Linked DNA regions of Nothobranchius furzeri. The protein of the gene in region 2 purifies or fractionates together with the protein of the main gene of each other region. This does not show direct contact. Links are inferred from orthologs where the notes say so. Each region holds a gene or a part of one and is shown on either strand. Other genes may lie near its edges.

Evidence for each region.
Region 1: the proteins of sik2b (region 2) and ppp2r2ca purify together in Homo sapiens (affinity purification with mass spectrometry; 3 studies listed by BioGRID and IntAct, counting the BioPlex papers as one, with this or other methods). This does not show direct contact. The link is inferred for Nothobranchius furzeri from reciprocal best matches to the Homo sapiens genes SIK2 and PPP2R2C.
Region 3: the proteins of sik2b (region 2) and ppp2r2aa purify together in Homo sapiens (affinity purification with mass spectrometry; 3 studies listed by BioGRID and IntAct, with this or other methods). This does not show direct contact. The link is inferred for Nothobranchius furzeri from reciprocal best matches to the Homo sapiens genes SIK2 and PPP2R2A.

The regions. Positions count from the first base shown.
Region 1 is NC_091747.1:78,433,121-78,438,509, reverse strand, and holds the start of ppp2r2ca (protein phosphatase 2, regulatory subunit B, gamma a), read left to right. Parts: upstream 1-1,967; 5' UTR 1,968-2,256; intron 2,257-2,684; exon of another isoform or gene 2,685-2,771; 5' UTR 2,772-2,918; coding exon 2,919-2,982; intron 2,983-5,389. Other genes in the region: hpf1 (histone PARylation factor 1), read right to left, coding at 615-798, 1,408-1,557. UniProt on the Homo sapiens protein: The B regulatory subunit might modulate substrate selectivity and catalytic activity, and might also direct the localization of the catalytic enzyme to a particular subcellular compartment.
Region 2 is NC_091753.1:40,037,142-40,042,869, forward strand, and holds the start of sik2b (serine/threonine-protein kinase SIK2), read left to right. Parts: upstream 1-2,162; 5' UTR 2,163-2,379; coding exon 2,380-2,517; intron 2,518-5,107; coding exon 5,108-5,224; intron 5,225-5,728. UniProt on the Homo sapiens protein: Serine/threonine-protein kinase that plays a role in many biological processes such as fatty acid oxidation, autophagy, immune response or glucose metabolism.
Region 3 is NC_091757.1:37,258,077-37,263,031, forward strand, and holds part of ppp2r2aa (serine/threonine-protein phosphatase 2A 55 kDa regulatory subunit B alpha isoform), read right to left. Parts: intron 2,436-4,955; coding exon 2,271-2,435; intron 2,051-2,270; coding exon 1,881-2,050; intron 1,794-1,880; coding exon 1,702-1,793; intron 1-1,701. UniProt on the Homo sapiens protein: Substrate-recognition subunit of protein phosphatase 2A (PP2A) that plays a key role in cell cycle by controlling mitosis entry and exit. Involved in chromosome clustering during late mitosis by mediating dephosphorylation of MKI67.

The DNA.
Region 1 (5,389 bases), on a different chromosome or scaffold from region 2:
GAAGAGGAGTGTTTAAGGCCTAGTCCACACGTAGCCGGTTTTTTAAAAATGAATATCCGCCCCTCCAAAAACTTGCATCCACACCACCGCGTTTTAAAGAAAACTCTGTCCACACGTACCCGGATAAATACGTTAAGGACATGCCAGACCTGTAGGCGGCAGTACTTCCCCCGTTCTTAACCTCGTCCTTCGTCTGTGTTCTTCCGCAAGGAGCAGTAATTCCGCTTGCAAAAACAAACAAGCAAAAAGCGCTTGGACAATTGATAAAGTGAGCGCGGCTCTGAGGGCATCCATGCTGTCGGCTAGTGTAAACACAGGTCGCACACGTGATGTCAGCATTTTTTTGTCGTGGAAAGTGACGTTGCGGACCTTAAAACTCCGGTTTTGTCTGTCCACACGCAGACACCCAAAACGGAGAAAACGCAGATCTTCACTTTGGCCGGAGTTTTTAAAAAGATCCGTTTTCGTGTGAAAAAACTCAGTTTTCGTGTGGATGACAGGCCAAAACATAGAAAAATATCTACGTTTTGGCAGATCCCCGGCTACGAGTGGACAGGGCCTAAATCCCAGTTGCAGCTTTAGTCCCATCAGTGGTGAGAGCAGTCAGGACGTACCACAGGGGTTGTCGGGACAAAGCTCCTTGCAGAAATCCCAGAAGTGGAACAGATCTTCTGGCATTTGTAAACCGTACAGCCGGGTCAACTCATCCCGCTGCTCTGGATTCCTTTCTGACAGCAGCACAGGTGTGGACTCATCAGTCCGGACCCTCTTCACCTCTCCATTGGCTGAATCCGACCCCTAATGAATCAGAGGAAGAAAAGAAAAATTACAAGTTTTAGTTTGTGGACCCAGGTTACACCATTGTCACTCCTGTCTCAGCCTGTTGCTGCTCTCTGATTATTAATTATATTAAAGTTTAACACCCTCCTGTTTCCTATGGCCTCCATAGTCACGGTTTGTTTTATTACACAGGTGCACCAGTGGGCGTCCTGCGTCCCCAACACCTAAGGTGTTTTATGCAGGTTGAACATTATTATAGTAGCTGAACAGAGGTAGCCGTGAGACCATCTAAAGCTCAGCTTTTATGGATAAAACACACATGCACAAGTTATCCTGCAGGGCACGCGACAGGTGACCCATCTCAAACGCTCCAGATGCGAACGCACGTGTCAGAAATGCGAAGCGGACACGATTAGACTGGAAACACAGTTTAGCAGAGAAGCAGCTGCTGCCATGTTGTCTGGAAGCGCCGCCGCTCACTCAGCTCCAGCGGTTCAGCCCGATGGTCTCACACAGATGTACCCGGAAAACAGCGACACCAGACAGAAGTCTGCGTTTGCCCCGGAGAGCCCGACTTCTCACCTGACACGTTCAGCGCAGGAAGCTTATCGGAGGAGGAGAAATTACCTGAATAGCTTTGGGTTTTCTTTTTGCGCGCCCTGTCATTTTCTTCCTCTCGTCTCGTCTTCTTCTTCTGCAGATTGAAGACAGTGGTAGAGGGTTCACCGTGACGTCGTGCGTCAGTGCCCCCGTGAGGCGTGGCGGTGTAAACATCATCAATTTTACACCTAAAGACACACACACACACACACACACACACACACACACACACACACACACACACAAATATATATATATATATATATATATATATATATATATATATATATATATATATATATAAATATAAGAAAATAAAAATAAAAAACAATAACAGTTAGTTTTAATAATTAAAATCATCCAATGAAAGGGAAAATACACATTTCTATGAATTAAGTTTTAAGTTGACTCAGCTGTTTAATTTAGACAATAAAAAAATGAATGCAGTCTCATTTTAAAGCGTGGCTGGCCCCACCACGCTCCATTCTCATTAAATGTCTCCCTCTGCTGGTCGCCCCCCCACCCTTCACCACCTGCAGTGGGTGGAGCCACCAGTGACAGCTGTGCTGTGATAGGCTTCTCCTAGAGGAGGCTGCCATGACACACGGTGGATGCTGCACAGAACAACATCCTCAGCATCAGCAATCCAGCGCTCCTGCATCCTCCTCCTCACTGTCCCTCTCTCTCTCTTTTCCTCCTCCTTTTTGCCTCTCCTCCTCGTACCACCACCCTTGCTGTCTCTTTTCTCCTGCTCGTTCTCCCTTCCCTTCGGCGGACACACACTCACACACGTCGAGGCCCTGCTTGAGCACACTGCAGCAGAGGGACGTGTACGAACACCAGCAGCAGGATCAGCAGCAGCGGGTGGACTGGTAGGTGAGCTGTGGCCTGAACCCCCCCCCTCCCCTTCTTCCTGCAGCACAAGCAAGACAGCGCGTTCTCCTCTGATCTCTGTCAAGGACTATCTATCTGAGAAGTGTGTGTGTTTGTGTGTGAGGGAGACAGAGGGCTGGGAGGACTACCACACCCTGGGATCATTTACAACCTCCGGCACAGCAGAATGAATGTTTGATGTTTTTATATAATCTTTGCTCCATCCTTCTCTTCTCGCTGAATGCATGCAGTTCCCCTCGGATGGATCTGTTTTCTGTGTCTGCTTGTGATGTTTGGTTTCCTGTTTTAATTCCACAGTACATGAATTCATTCAAGCACATGTTAGCAAGAGCACTGAACATGCAACCATTTAGGAAGTTAACTAACTACATCTTTCATGTTTTCCTTTCCAAAACCCTCTTCAACATCAGGCCATCCACCCCTCTCCTCCACCTTCTCGATTCAATCCTGTTTATCTCTTTCCTCCCTCTTCCTTACACAACTTCTACTCCTCCCAGCTGGTCGCTTTTCCCAGGATGCCTTGCCTCAGGCCACTACGGTAGGCCCCAGCAGCATGGGCGGAGCCTGGGTGGGACGAGATATCAAAGATTGGACCCTTCCTCTTAGGACGGGTGTGGTGGCGGGTCACCTACCTTCAGCTTCAGATGGGCGAGGACGCTGAAAACCCCAAAATCAACCACACCTTCCTGCGAGACTACGTCACTGAAGGTGAGTTGGGTTCACCTCTAGGGTCGGATTAGAGTGACTGAAAAAGGAAACTTGGTTTTATTTTTTATTCTGACAAACTCTGATCTTATTTTGCATCTTTAAATTCTCAGGCTGAAGATAGAAATGTGGTTAGGAGCTTTAGAAATAAGATAATGTTTTTAGTGATTCTAAATTTTATTGATATTTTATCACAGGTTCACTGTTTTTTATGGATCTTATTTATGCTTTCTTTTGAATTGTATTTACTAAGACACCGTCCGGCCCCCCAAAAAGTCAACATCAAAAGAAAAGGTTCACACACTAATATTTCATTGGACCACCTTTAGCTTTGATTACAGCACACATTCGCTGTGGCATTGTTTCAAAAAACTTCTGCAACGTCACCAGATTTATTTCCTTCCAGTGCTGCATTCATGTTTCACCAAGATCTTGCATTGATGATGGTTGAGTCTGACCGCTGCACAAAGCCTTCTCCAGCACATCCTAAAGATTCTCATTGGGGTTAAGGTCTGGACTCTGTGGTGGCCGATCCATGTGTGAAAATGACGTCTCATGCTCCCTGAACGACTCTTTCACTATCTGAGCCTGATGACTCCTGGCATTGTCCTCTTGGAACATGCACGTGTCATCAGGGAAGATGGAATAACCTGGTCATTCAGTATATTCAGGTAGTCAGCTGACGTCATTCTTGGAGCACATCCTGCTGCTGAACCTAGACCTGACCAACTGCAGCAACCCCAGATCATAATACTGCCCCCACAGGCTTGTACAGTAGGCATGATGGGTACATCACTTCATCTGCCTCTCTTCTTACCCTGATGCACCATCATTCTGGAACAGGGTCCATCTGGACTCATCAGACCACATGACCTTCTTCCATTACTCCATAGTCCAATCTTTATGCTCACTAGCAAATTGAATCCTTTTCCCCAGGTTTACCTCACTGATTAGTGGTTTTCTTACAGCTATACAGCTGTTTATTCCCAGTCCCCTGAGTTCCCTTTGCATTGTGTGTGGAACAGGGGCAGACTGAAAAACATCCGAGGCTTTAGTCCTAGTAGCCAGCCCTAACCCCACCCCTTGTGTGGAAATGCTCTTAGTTTCACTGTTAAGCATAGCCCTGACTTCTACTGTTGATTTAACCAAACGGGAAAGCACCGCAGATCACGTTCATTCTAGATTTTTCCCCCCAGCTACATTTCTTCCTCGAAGACGATGGGTCTCCACTATTCTTTCAGTCTTTAAAAATGCGTTGGACAGTTCTTTAACCCAGTTTGGGTCATTTCTACAATCTCCTTAGATGCTTTCTCTGCTCGATGCATGCCAACAACCCTGACCCTTCTCAAACAGACTAACATCTTTTCCATGACCACCACATGTGCCTTTCCACATGGTTGTTTAAGAAATGAGAAGCAACTCATTTCACCAGCTGGGGTTAAATAACTTGTCATTAGCTGAAAGATAATCGCCCATGCAATTTTCCAATAGGGGGCTCTTACCTCAGGCAGCAGTAGCTCACAAGGCTCTCTCTAACCTTAACCCTACCCTAACCCTAGACGTGTCCACCATCACCTCTCTGAGTTGCCCAGTAATTGGAGGGTTGCAGGTTGGATCCCAGCTCCCACCAGAGAATGCTGCTGTTGTGTTATTGGGCAAGGCATTCAACACGCCTTGCCTGCTGGTGATGGTCAGAGGGACTGATGGCGCCAGTGTTTGGCAGGCCTCGCCTCTGTCAGCGTGCCCCAGCGCAGCTGTGGCTACACAGCTCATCATCACCAGGGTGTGAATGTGTGAATGACTGATTGTGTTGTGAAGCACCCTGGGGGCTTGTAGGACCCTAAGAAGGCGCTGCTTAGTTAAATCCAGATGTGTATGTTCTGTTTGGTTACAAATCTCCGGATTGAAGGTGTAGTTCTTCATTCTCAAGGACATAAAAACGTTGTTCGATAGAGCTTTGTTAATATGAGCTAGTTTTCTATCGACTTCCTGAGGATCTTTGCGGTGCTTTTTTCTCCTGGTCCACATGTGAGATGTTTTGGTCCTGAAGCTGCATGCTGTGAAACTAATCTAGATCCAGGGCTGCATTTTTAAATTTGAGAGGGCAAAACCACAGAACTCCTACTTAGTTTAATGTTTTAAATCCCTGTTTCTGTATTATGTTTTATTTGTGGGCCCTTAGATCAGCCGACCAGGTGCTTTGGGCCGGTTGTATGTTTGTTTTCTGTTTTTTAATGTTGTTTATTTCATATAATTTATCCATTTTATTATTGTAGATCACTTTGGTTTAACTTGTTTCTTTTCATTTTCATTATGGCTTCTTCAGCTCAGCACAATTTATTTAATTTCTCTGACCAAACTATGAATGTTTTGAAAGAGGATTCCTCGGGTTCAACGCAAAACATCTCGA
Region 2 (5,728 bases):
AACCCCATATAAACATATATTCAAAATCTTTCAAATAAATGCTAATAATCAAAACAAAGACCCACAGCAATCCCAAGATGGTTTTTTTATTCAAAATAAACACAAATTTGGGGAAATTTGTGAATTGTTCTGGGTATTTAGAGTTAAATAGACAATCAGGACTGACAAGCAAGTAGCAATTATCACGAGACTCCAGCTAATATATGTTTAGACTATATTTCCAAATAAAAGTGCCAATTTTAGTCACGCAAACATTTGTTGATTGTTGTGACTTTTTTAATACAAAAAGCATTTGAAATAAAAACATAAAAACAAGGGAATGAGACTGAAACTGTGACCCATTCCGCTTATTGTGACCATCAATATGTTAAGAACTTCAAAGCTAACAGACTTGTTATATGTGCAGCCACCAGGTTTAAACTATTTCCTGTTGGTGTTTTAAATTTATTGATTTTCAGACGCATGAAGGTTGAATTAGATTTGCTCAAACTGGGAGAATTTACATGCAACCCTGAAAGTATAAATGTAAGGACCTCCACAAGGTTGCTCATTTGTAAACAATTCACAATTAGTCCAAAGTGACAGATTTATAGAACATGTCACCGGATTTACTGTGACACGTGAACAAAAGGTTACAAGGTTGGGGTCTAAAAAGCATCATTTTGGCTCTTTGATGTGATGGGAGTATTTCAACCTTCTGTCATTCCTGTGTAGAGCTTCCTGTTTGGACCCTGGTGTCAGGGAACAGGACAGTACATTCGGAAGCAGCGATGACAGAACTCTGCTGACCAAAATAGATCTTATTGCTGTTGGATTGCTGATTTATTTTTTTGTCTTTGTAAGAAGCTCAATCCCTTCACTGATCTCTCAAAGTCAGTTGAACAAGTGTGTGCCTCCTATGTAATTTTGCAAAAATAACACAGATGCATATTTCTTAAAATAAATCCTTGAGCATATACTCAGCGTGGGCTGTTTGGGTTTCATGATTTGGAGAGATGCAGCAATCCCAGTAAGGAGAGGCTGAGTGTGTTCTTGGAGAACGTTAGACAGGAAATGCCAAAAGCACATCTGGAACTCTTACATTAAGGAAGTCTGAGCGTGACAGCGGAGGCCTTTGCCTCGCTTAGCAGTCCACTGCTCTGTTAAACACTGTGACAGGGCAACGGAAGAGAACACTCTCTGAGTGTGAATGTGGGCTGTGTTTTAGGCATGAAAGTCATTTCCATATGGTTTGGCTACAAGATGTTGCGGTCACATTCCTTATTTGATAATAACATGGGTGAATTTAACTGCATTTGTACTTGTATAACTATAATTTGGAGTGTGTGTGATGCTTTAGATGTATGTGTGTGTGTGTTTGAATGTAATTACTAGAACGGTTGATAATTAAGTACAAAGAAGTGGAAAGGAGAAATGTGTGGCCCATGTGTTGTTTTTTGTTTTGTTTCACCGACAGGTGGTGCTGTTACACAGGCAATCAGAGGTGTCTTTACTATTTAAAATGTCTGTGTTTATGTGGCATTTGTGATATATATTTTCGAACTACTTTTGCGTTTTTTTTCCATTTTTGGCATTTTTTAATTCATGTTAAATCATGTTAAAAGTACTCGAAATTCGAGATGTTTTAACATAAAATGCAGAATATATTTGTATTCATTTTTTCCTCTATTAATATTAATACATTAGAGCACTTTTTTATCTCCTACAAAGAGGTGCACGTTTCACGCCACTCTTAAATGCACCAAATGACTCTCATTAACATTTTTTTTCTCTTGCATTTTTGAAGCTGCAGCAGACAAACGCTCGGCAAACACCTGCAGGGCAGGACTTCAAAGTTACCTATGCGTGCAATCAAAGAGGCCAGGCGAGCAAACAGATTTCAGAACAGCAATTTTACCGGTTGACGTAAGAGGTGGGTCTGGTTGTCGTGGCAACCAATTGGCACTGAAGTGTGGAGTCGCTCCGTGGCTCCGCCTCCTGTACAAATACCCCTATGGCTTTGACGTCAATACACGTCAACCAGAGAACATGATGCCTCTTTGCAAGTCAACTCGTGTGCTCTGTAGCAGATAGAGGCACCTCGGGCTGAAATATTAGAACTCTATTGTGCCGGAGAACGTGGTGTGACAGCCCCGTGGCTCCGCTAATGGCCTGTCGCGCTGAGGGAGAGAGCCGCCACATTGGCGCGTGAGCCGGCGGGGCGACGCAGAAATCAACTTTGTCTATTTTTAATGGACACGCTTCGAGCGGCGGTGGCAGCGGGCGGTTTGTTTTCCTTTCGTCTTTATCTCTAGCTGGCCGTGGGTCCCCCTCCTCCTCCTCCGCGTGTCTCTCTCTACCCCCCCAGAACTCTCCGAAACAGCTCCCATTTACAACAGCATGGTCATGGCTGACAATGTCCAGAAACCGCTGTTTCGGGGTCCGGTCAGGGTGGGCTTCTACGACATCGAGCGCACTTTAGGAAAGGGCAACTTCGCTGTCGTGAAGCTGGCTAGACACCGCATAACCAAGACCGAGGTGAGTGCGAACTTGTTAGCCCCAAAGGCTAACTTTGGGCTACTGTTCTATTGAGTTATATAACTTTTAAGTTGACACCCCAGGCTTTCGCGGTGGACAGGGGGGCTCTGTCCCGACATCACACACTAATAGAAACTCTGGTCGGGCGGCGGCTGAACAGCCGGCGGCCACATGACTGCCACAGGTTCGGACCCTGCAGGTACAGGAGCTAGTGAGCTTCAGCACGTCCATCCCTCTCGGGATTTCACTGCCAGTAAGAGATCTGACCGCCAGTGCTGCTGGGAAACACACTGTAAACATGCACACTCGGTTTTACACCGGACTTGACATCATACACCTGTTCTCACTTAATGACCCAGTGTCAAAGAAAAAGACATGTCAGTATCTGGGGATGCAGAAGGAGTTGGTGGTCTCATTATGTAATCCAACTAATGATGCGATGTTCCAGCAGTGCAGCCAGCCACGTCTCTGCAATCTGAAAGCAAAGTCTTCTGCAGGCATGCATGCACCGACTCTTTTGAGTCCTTGCATAGCTTGGAAAGGGGTTTGATATCGCAAACACTCCAGGCTCTCAGTCGCTGCAGCTCGAGCACATAAGAAACAGTTCATCTGTCAGCTCTCTGCAGAAAAGGGCTTACTGAAGCAGTACCATGGAGTACCATGACGTTCTGCTGTAATGACAGAGACAGGGAATTTACTGTAAACAGTGATCACACTACAAAAGCCATGCTGGGGTGTGTTCTGAACATAAGATTAAAGACTTGTAAAAATAAAAGTTAAGGATTTTAATCTTTGATCTGTGCAGTTTGTTTTTTGCTGATTATACTGTAAAGAAAAACAGAGACACTCAGACAGACTAATGAATAACAGGGAGAGAAAATGTCTTGTGCGACACTTGGTGTGTTCATCTGTTTGGCTGTGTGGATAAAATGTGTGACGTGTATTTGGTATTTGCTAGAGGAGGTCACATGGAGCATATGACCAAGGTTATTGGAGAGAGAGATTCTGAACATTTATTTGAAGCCATTTACCTCTAGGTCTAGTGATGCCAGGCCTGTTGCATGTGTGGGCAGTAAACTAATGTTTTAATAACACATGACACAGCAGATTTGACTTGTGCTCATGCACACACACGTCCCTAGATAGGTGGGTTGCTTATGTGCATGTGTGTAACCTACTTTTTCTAACTGACCTATTTGTCTCATTTTGTACATTTTGCCACTTGTTTGCATAGTTTTGGTCCAACAGTGATCCACGTCTGTCCTAAGCGCTGTCCAGTTTTCCTGTTTTTACTATTTCATGAGGCACTAAATTCCCATTGTAACTCCTTTTCTTCCAATTGGCCTTGCACTCGCAGAGTTAAAGAGTTGTCTTTTGCTTTGTGTGCTTGTTCAGTATTGTTTCCAGCACAGTCCGTTTGAATACCGAAGATGCATTCATCAGAAATGTAAAATTTGCAAGTTAGCACTATAAGATTTAGATTTCTTTGCAGGATTTAATGCCATACAGTACTGCATGCCAGTCTGTGTCGTGACAAGGGAGATAATAATGGAGTGTTAAACCTATTAAAACTCCCTCAGCTGCTCATTGTTGAGCAGCAACGTCAGATATGCTGAAGGAAGCTCAAGATAAGTGACAGATTTCACTGCCACTGAAAGCAAATTAAAGCTCACTGTAAACACAAAACCGAAAATGCAGCACTGTTCTTTATTTGACTAATACCTCTGCTTTTATGCAGCAGACAGGTTAAGGGAACAAATACAGGCATCATTTATCAGTTCATCTGTTGCTGCAACATGCTTTTGCATCAGGTGGCCATCCAGTGCAGCTACACATTCCTTTGTAATATGAACAGAGTAGATCTGATGGATATCTCTGAATAAAGATGGAGGATAAAACGAACATCCAGGGATCGAATCGCTGCACAGTCTGTCGCCATTTGATCAACCTTTAGAAGTCTAACTGATCAAAGACCAAATAAATGTTAAATTAATCATTATGAAAAAGAAAATTAGGATTTTTGTTTGGTTGGTTGAAATTTGCTCCCCCTGATCAGCTTTATTTGTTGGCAGACTTTCATCTCAAATGTTCAAGTTCACCTAACGGTGGTGTGAGTGCAGAGATCTGGGGTTTCCTGTTTACTTCTCCTTTTGGCTCACAGATGCCTGGAGCATTTCAGATCACACTGGTGATTTTGTTGTTTATGAGAAAGTCAGGCAGAGAGGTGCTATTATTGCCTTGTTACCCACCAGACTTCAGCAACAAATGCCCGTGATGTTTAGGGTTCGAAGATGCTGTTTACATTCGTTCATGTCCGTGAGTGTGACAGGAATGTATTTACCTGTTGGATTAAAGGTCAAGACGGTTTCCGAACATTTTTAATCCCATCATTCGATTCGTAGAAAAAGCTAAAACAAAAATAAGCTAGAAAAGGAACACAGTGTCCTGTTTTTATGTTTGTTGAATTACTGTTTTGCACTGCGGCTAGTTTTTGTGTTCATCACTTCTCATGAGCCTAAACAAGCACCTCAGCTACATGTCATCAAGGAACTGACTATTGTTGTATTGCTGATGGTTGATGTTTCTGCAGGTGGCCATTAAGATTATTGACAAGACCCAGCTAGACGCTGTGAACCTGGAGAAAATCTACAGGGAAGTTCAGATCATGAAGATGCTGGACCACCCCCACATCATTAAGCTGTATCAGGTTGGTTCTTTGTACCTTTTTATCTTCATCTTTTGTCGACTTGTCAAAAAAAAATGTAAACAAATGAGTGATTTTTCAGAAGTGTTGGATTCTACTTTCACCATGTCTCTATTTGATCTGATCTATTGTGTCTTATCGTCTCTCCGTTTTATCTTTTTATTGTTTCTTTCCACTGGATGCCTGAGTGGCGTTTGACGTAATAAATGCGTTTTCATTGCGACCTCAGAGGTGTTCCGTTTCTACTGGAAATCTTTCAGACGTGGAAATCAAGGAACCACAGAACTGCCAAGATCTCAAGTGTGATTTCACCAGTTCATGTGATAAAAATCAAGGTGAAATGTATCCAGAGGTCTGTGGTTTACTTTCTGTGCTTTTTACCTGTCAAGGAGGTGACACATGTATGTTTTGATATCGTTAAACGATGAGAAATCTGCACCGATCTTTTCATTTGAAATTTTCCAGATGCTTTACTCTACTTTTGTGTTTGATTTCCTGTCTGGCTCG
Region 3 (4,955 bases), on a different chromosome or scaffold from region 2:
CGTGCGACGCAGCTGAGCGAGAGGAGAGACAAACGGCTGTGCAGCACGCAGATACAGAAAGCAAAGACTGAGCGGTTAGAGAGAGAGAGAGAAAAAAAAACAACGGTCGAGGCCGTGAAGAACCCTGATTTGGGTGCCGCATAGATAGAGGGAGAGGCGGACTTGACTCCTTCTAATAAGAGCTAGGAACTTGGAACCAACGCGGTGAGTAAAGAAAAAAGAAGAGAAAAAGCTAACGATGCAACTTAAAAAAAAAAGGAAACTTAAATAGCTTATCAAATTAATTCCATTCTTATAGATTTGTGTGGAGACGACAGAGTGAACCAATCCTCTGTAGGAGGGAACCGTTGGAGCGCGTTGGTGAGTGAATGAGATTAAATTCAGTAAATTATTAAATTCAAAAAGCTAATTACAGCAACCGAGGTGACAGCAGTGGGCTGCTAGACATTAGATCCCAGGAGTTAACATCTCAAACTACCAGTTAACGGTGGTAGGGCATATAGGAGTTAACGGCTCAAACCGCCAGTTAACGGCGGTAGGGCATATGGGATTCCCAGGAGTTAACGGCTCAAACCGCCAGTTAATGGTGGTACGGCCTAGATGTACAAGGTCCTCAGGGGCGTTATAGCTAACGCCATAGAATTAGCAATGCGTCCCTTAACCAAACATTTAATAATAAAAAAATAGATAAATAAAAATAAATAAAAGCTAACTGATTAGGGAGGAATTATTTTACAAAGGTGGACCAAAGGACCAGAATTTATATTTTGTTTAATTTTGTTATAGAAAATTTTATTTATTTATTTATTTGTTTGTTTGTTTATTTATTTATTTATTTATTGTGTTACAGATATACAAGGTGTCACAATGCTGTATAGAAACACAACTAAATGTATCCTTGTTGTCATGAATGCATTTCTTGTCGAATAGTGTAGAGTAATAGAATCTAACTGAGCCTATTGAGCTGAACAATTGTTGTCATATGTAATTATATTTCCAGAGCTACTGAGAATTATTTTAATAGACAATCAAATTGATGTTATGTTAGTTGAACTGTGAACCCAAACATGATTGGCTATGCCAATAGAGTGAAGCATTTGTTTAAGTCTGTAAGACTTTATGCTGTGATGTGACGAGAAGGGTCGATGCCAACTTGCTAACAGTCCTGTTGTTTACAGGCTGGGTTTTTTTTTTTCCTTGGGTTTGATCCCGACTCCTATGATCACTCACTTGGAACGAGAACTGGATTTCTTCCTGACGAGGGAGATGGCGAGCCTTAACCACTGAACGAACCAGGACATCTCAAGTAACTGAAGAGCAGACTGCTCTCTTCTGTGAACAATCTCAACGGTGCGGTAGGAAAAAATCGCACCACCGGACTCTGACTTTCACCCCAAGCGTGGGGATTTGACTTGACGCCGGCTGACTTGTGACTCATATGATCAAATCTCATACCGAGCATTTTACTGTTGTCGATTGTTTTCATCTGTTTTTGTGTGTTATCTTTATGCGTTATATTTCCCATTATTATTAAAATTTAGTATATAAACCGTTTCATGCTATACCCGTGACTCCAGTCATTCTTAAACAACCTCCAATTCTCCCCGAACCTAATTATTGGCCCATTTGTTTATTTTTTCTTTTAATTATCTTATTGTATCCTGTAATCCGGTTACACAAATAAAAATAGCAAGGGCTCACCTGTCATTTCCATTCCAACAGCATTCAAACTTGTCAAAGATGCAGTCGTTCTCATAAAGTGAACACAACTTACTCCTGAGATATTCATGCACCTGTTCAAACACAACAATCAGAAAGTAACATTTCGTTTAATCACGTTAAGAAAACACCAAAGTGTGCCCACGTCATCAGTTACAGACCTGATATGTCTCTACTGGTCGCGTTTCCATGTTGAGATCCCAAACTTTGACCGACAAGTAGTCACGTGTCATCATGTAGCGCCCGCTGTGGCTGAACTTCACATCAGAGATGGATGAGATGATCTCAGAAAAGAACGAACGGTTGTTTGGATCTTCAGGCTCCTCAAACACTTAAAAGGCAAACACATTCATGTTGATAGATTATACAGATGTAAACTGAATAACAAGGGCAGGAAACAGTTTCTAAATAACCGTGCAACAGTTTAAAAATTTCAGTGCTGAAAAGATGAATGACTTAATCAGAGTAAGAAAAAGAAATTAAATAAAACACTTTAAAATGTGCAAAAAGCTAAATTTGGCAGCAGACCTGCAGCACAAACACAGACTTACATTTTGTGTGTCTGTCACACAGAGCTGATGCCCTCATGTCACACAAACGGATGGTTCCCTTGCTGCTGCTGTAAACAAAGGTGTTGCACTGGTTAGGGTGGAACTCCGCCGCTGTGATCACTTCTGTCAGCTCCTCCATGTTGGCAGGTTTAATGTCAACAATATCTGAAGAACTCAGGTTAAGGTGAAAGCCAAAACAGATATTTCTACAACTGAAAAGAAAATTCTTATACAAACTTAGATGTACAAATGAACACTGCGGTTTTTAATGTTGCTCCTGTGGAATGTGCACTGTTTTGAGATTGCATCTTACTATGAATGCTTCAGAAAATCCTGCAGAGTTCGTACTTATGCTTCCTCACTTGCAGACATTCCTGCATGGATCCTTTCTCCTCCTGCAGCTAAATCAGGAAATTGTGTTTGAAAAATCTTTTGATGCCGATTCCAGATCAAAGGTAGGAAAACGATTAGAAAGAGCAAAAAATTGTTAAAAACTTTGAGGATTCAAAAAAAGAAAAAACTCAAATCTTAGCTTGGAGACATCTAGTGGTGATATAAAAATATGACAGGCGTGGTTGTTGGTGCCAGACGGGCCGGTCTGAGTATTTCACAGTCTGCTCAGTTACTGGGATCTTCACGCACAACCATTTCTAGGGATTACAAAGAATGGCGTGAAAAGGGAAAAACATCCAGTATGCAGCAGTCCTGTGGGCGAAAATGCCTTGTTGATGCTAGAGGTCAGAGGAGAATGGGCCGACTGATTCAAGCTGATAGAAGGGCAACTTTGCCTGAAATAAGCACTCGTTACAACCGAGGAATGCAGCAAAGAATTTGTGAAGCACCAACATGCACAACCTTGAGGCGGAGGGGCTACAACAGCAGAAGACCCCACCGGGTACCACTCATCTCCACTACAAATAGTAATGAAGAGGCTACAATTGGCACGAGCTCACCAAAATTGGACAGTTGAAGACTAGAAAAATGTTGCCTGGTCTGATGAGTCTCGATTTCTGTTGAGACATTCAAATGGTAGAGTCAGAATTTGGCATAAAGAGAATGAGAGCATGGATCCATCATGCCTTGTTACCACTGTGCAGGCTGGTGGTGGTGGTGTGATGGTGTAGGGGGTGTTTTCTTGGCACACTTTAGGCCCCTTAGTGCCAAATGGGCTTGGTTTAAATCCCACAGGCTACCTGAGCATTGTTTCTGACCATGTACCCATCCTCTGATGGCTACTTCCATCAGGATAATGCACCATGTCATAAAGTTCCAGTCATTTCTAATTGGTTTCTTGAACATGACAATGAGTTCACTGTACTACAATGGCCCCCACAGTCACCAGATCTCAACCCGATAGAGCATCTTTGGGATGTGGTGGAACGGGAGTTTCGTGCCCTGGAAGTGCATCCCACAAATCTTCATCAACAGCAAGATGCTATCCTATCAATATGGGCCAACATTTCTAAAGAATGCTTTCAGCACCTTGTTGAATCAATGCCATGTAGAATTAAAGGGACTTTACGGTGTTTTGAATTTTTATGTTCGCGAATGCTCCCTCAGGTCAAAAGCGTAACAGCAGCTTCAATAGTAGGCTCGTGCACGAGGCGCGCATGCTGTACGTGCACACTCCTTAACGAAAATAACAGCTGAGACAGTCCCGAGTGTGTGTGTGTGTGTGTGTGTGGCCCAAAGGACAGAGGACAGGACAACATGCAGCTAATTAATTAAATGATTTGGTTCTGTACCTTTCTCTTCAGCACAGCCAACAAAGGTTTATGATGGGTCAGTCTTCCTGCATGCTCAGATAATTCCCTTCCCTTGCTTGAAAAATTAATCCAAAATGAAAGTTGAACCCACATCTTTTTTATCTGTGAATTCAATGCCGTTCGGTGAGTCTCAAATAAAAATTTGAGCATCTTACTGTAAAAAAATATACCATCAATGTAAAAAATAAACTCTTAACTAAACCATATTCACATTGAGAATCAAGCCCGGGTCTTCTGCACGAGAGTCCAACATCTTACTAGGTGAGCTAAAGCACCAGTGACGTCATTTGTATCTGTAACATTTATATCGTTGATAACAGCTGAAACAATGGTCAAAGAACGGTTCGGAGCGAAAATGGCTATTTTGTTGCTAATTTGCAGGAAATATCTAGAAGAAAGTAGCTAAGGGTCCTCAGAAATGTAGCTAGGTTTATCACTAGGCGTTAGGAACAGCGACAAAGTCGCTGAGTTGGCACTACCTCTCTCTCTGCTGCTAAAGCTACTGATGGCAAATGCTACAGGCGATGCCTGAGCGTGAATGTTCAAGAAGCAGCCTGCTCGACCCGAGCAGCTCTCTTTTTCTTTGATTTTACAGAAAAACAGGCAATCACAGTAAAAATGTCAGGGCTCATTCTACAGGACCAGGGCATTGCAGGAGAATGTATGAAGAAGAAATTTATTATTTCTATACATGTTTTGGCTGTCAAACTTCTATAATACCCCTTTAAGGCAGTTCTGAAGGTGAAAGTGGGTCAAACACCATATTAGTATGTTCCTAATAATCCTTTAGGTGATTGTAATACATGATACTTATTCCATGCAAAGTCAGATATTTCAGGACTTTGTTATATTTGTGATGATTATGGCTTTCAGCTTATGAAAACCCCACATTCAGAAATCTCAAATGAATCCAAAACAC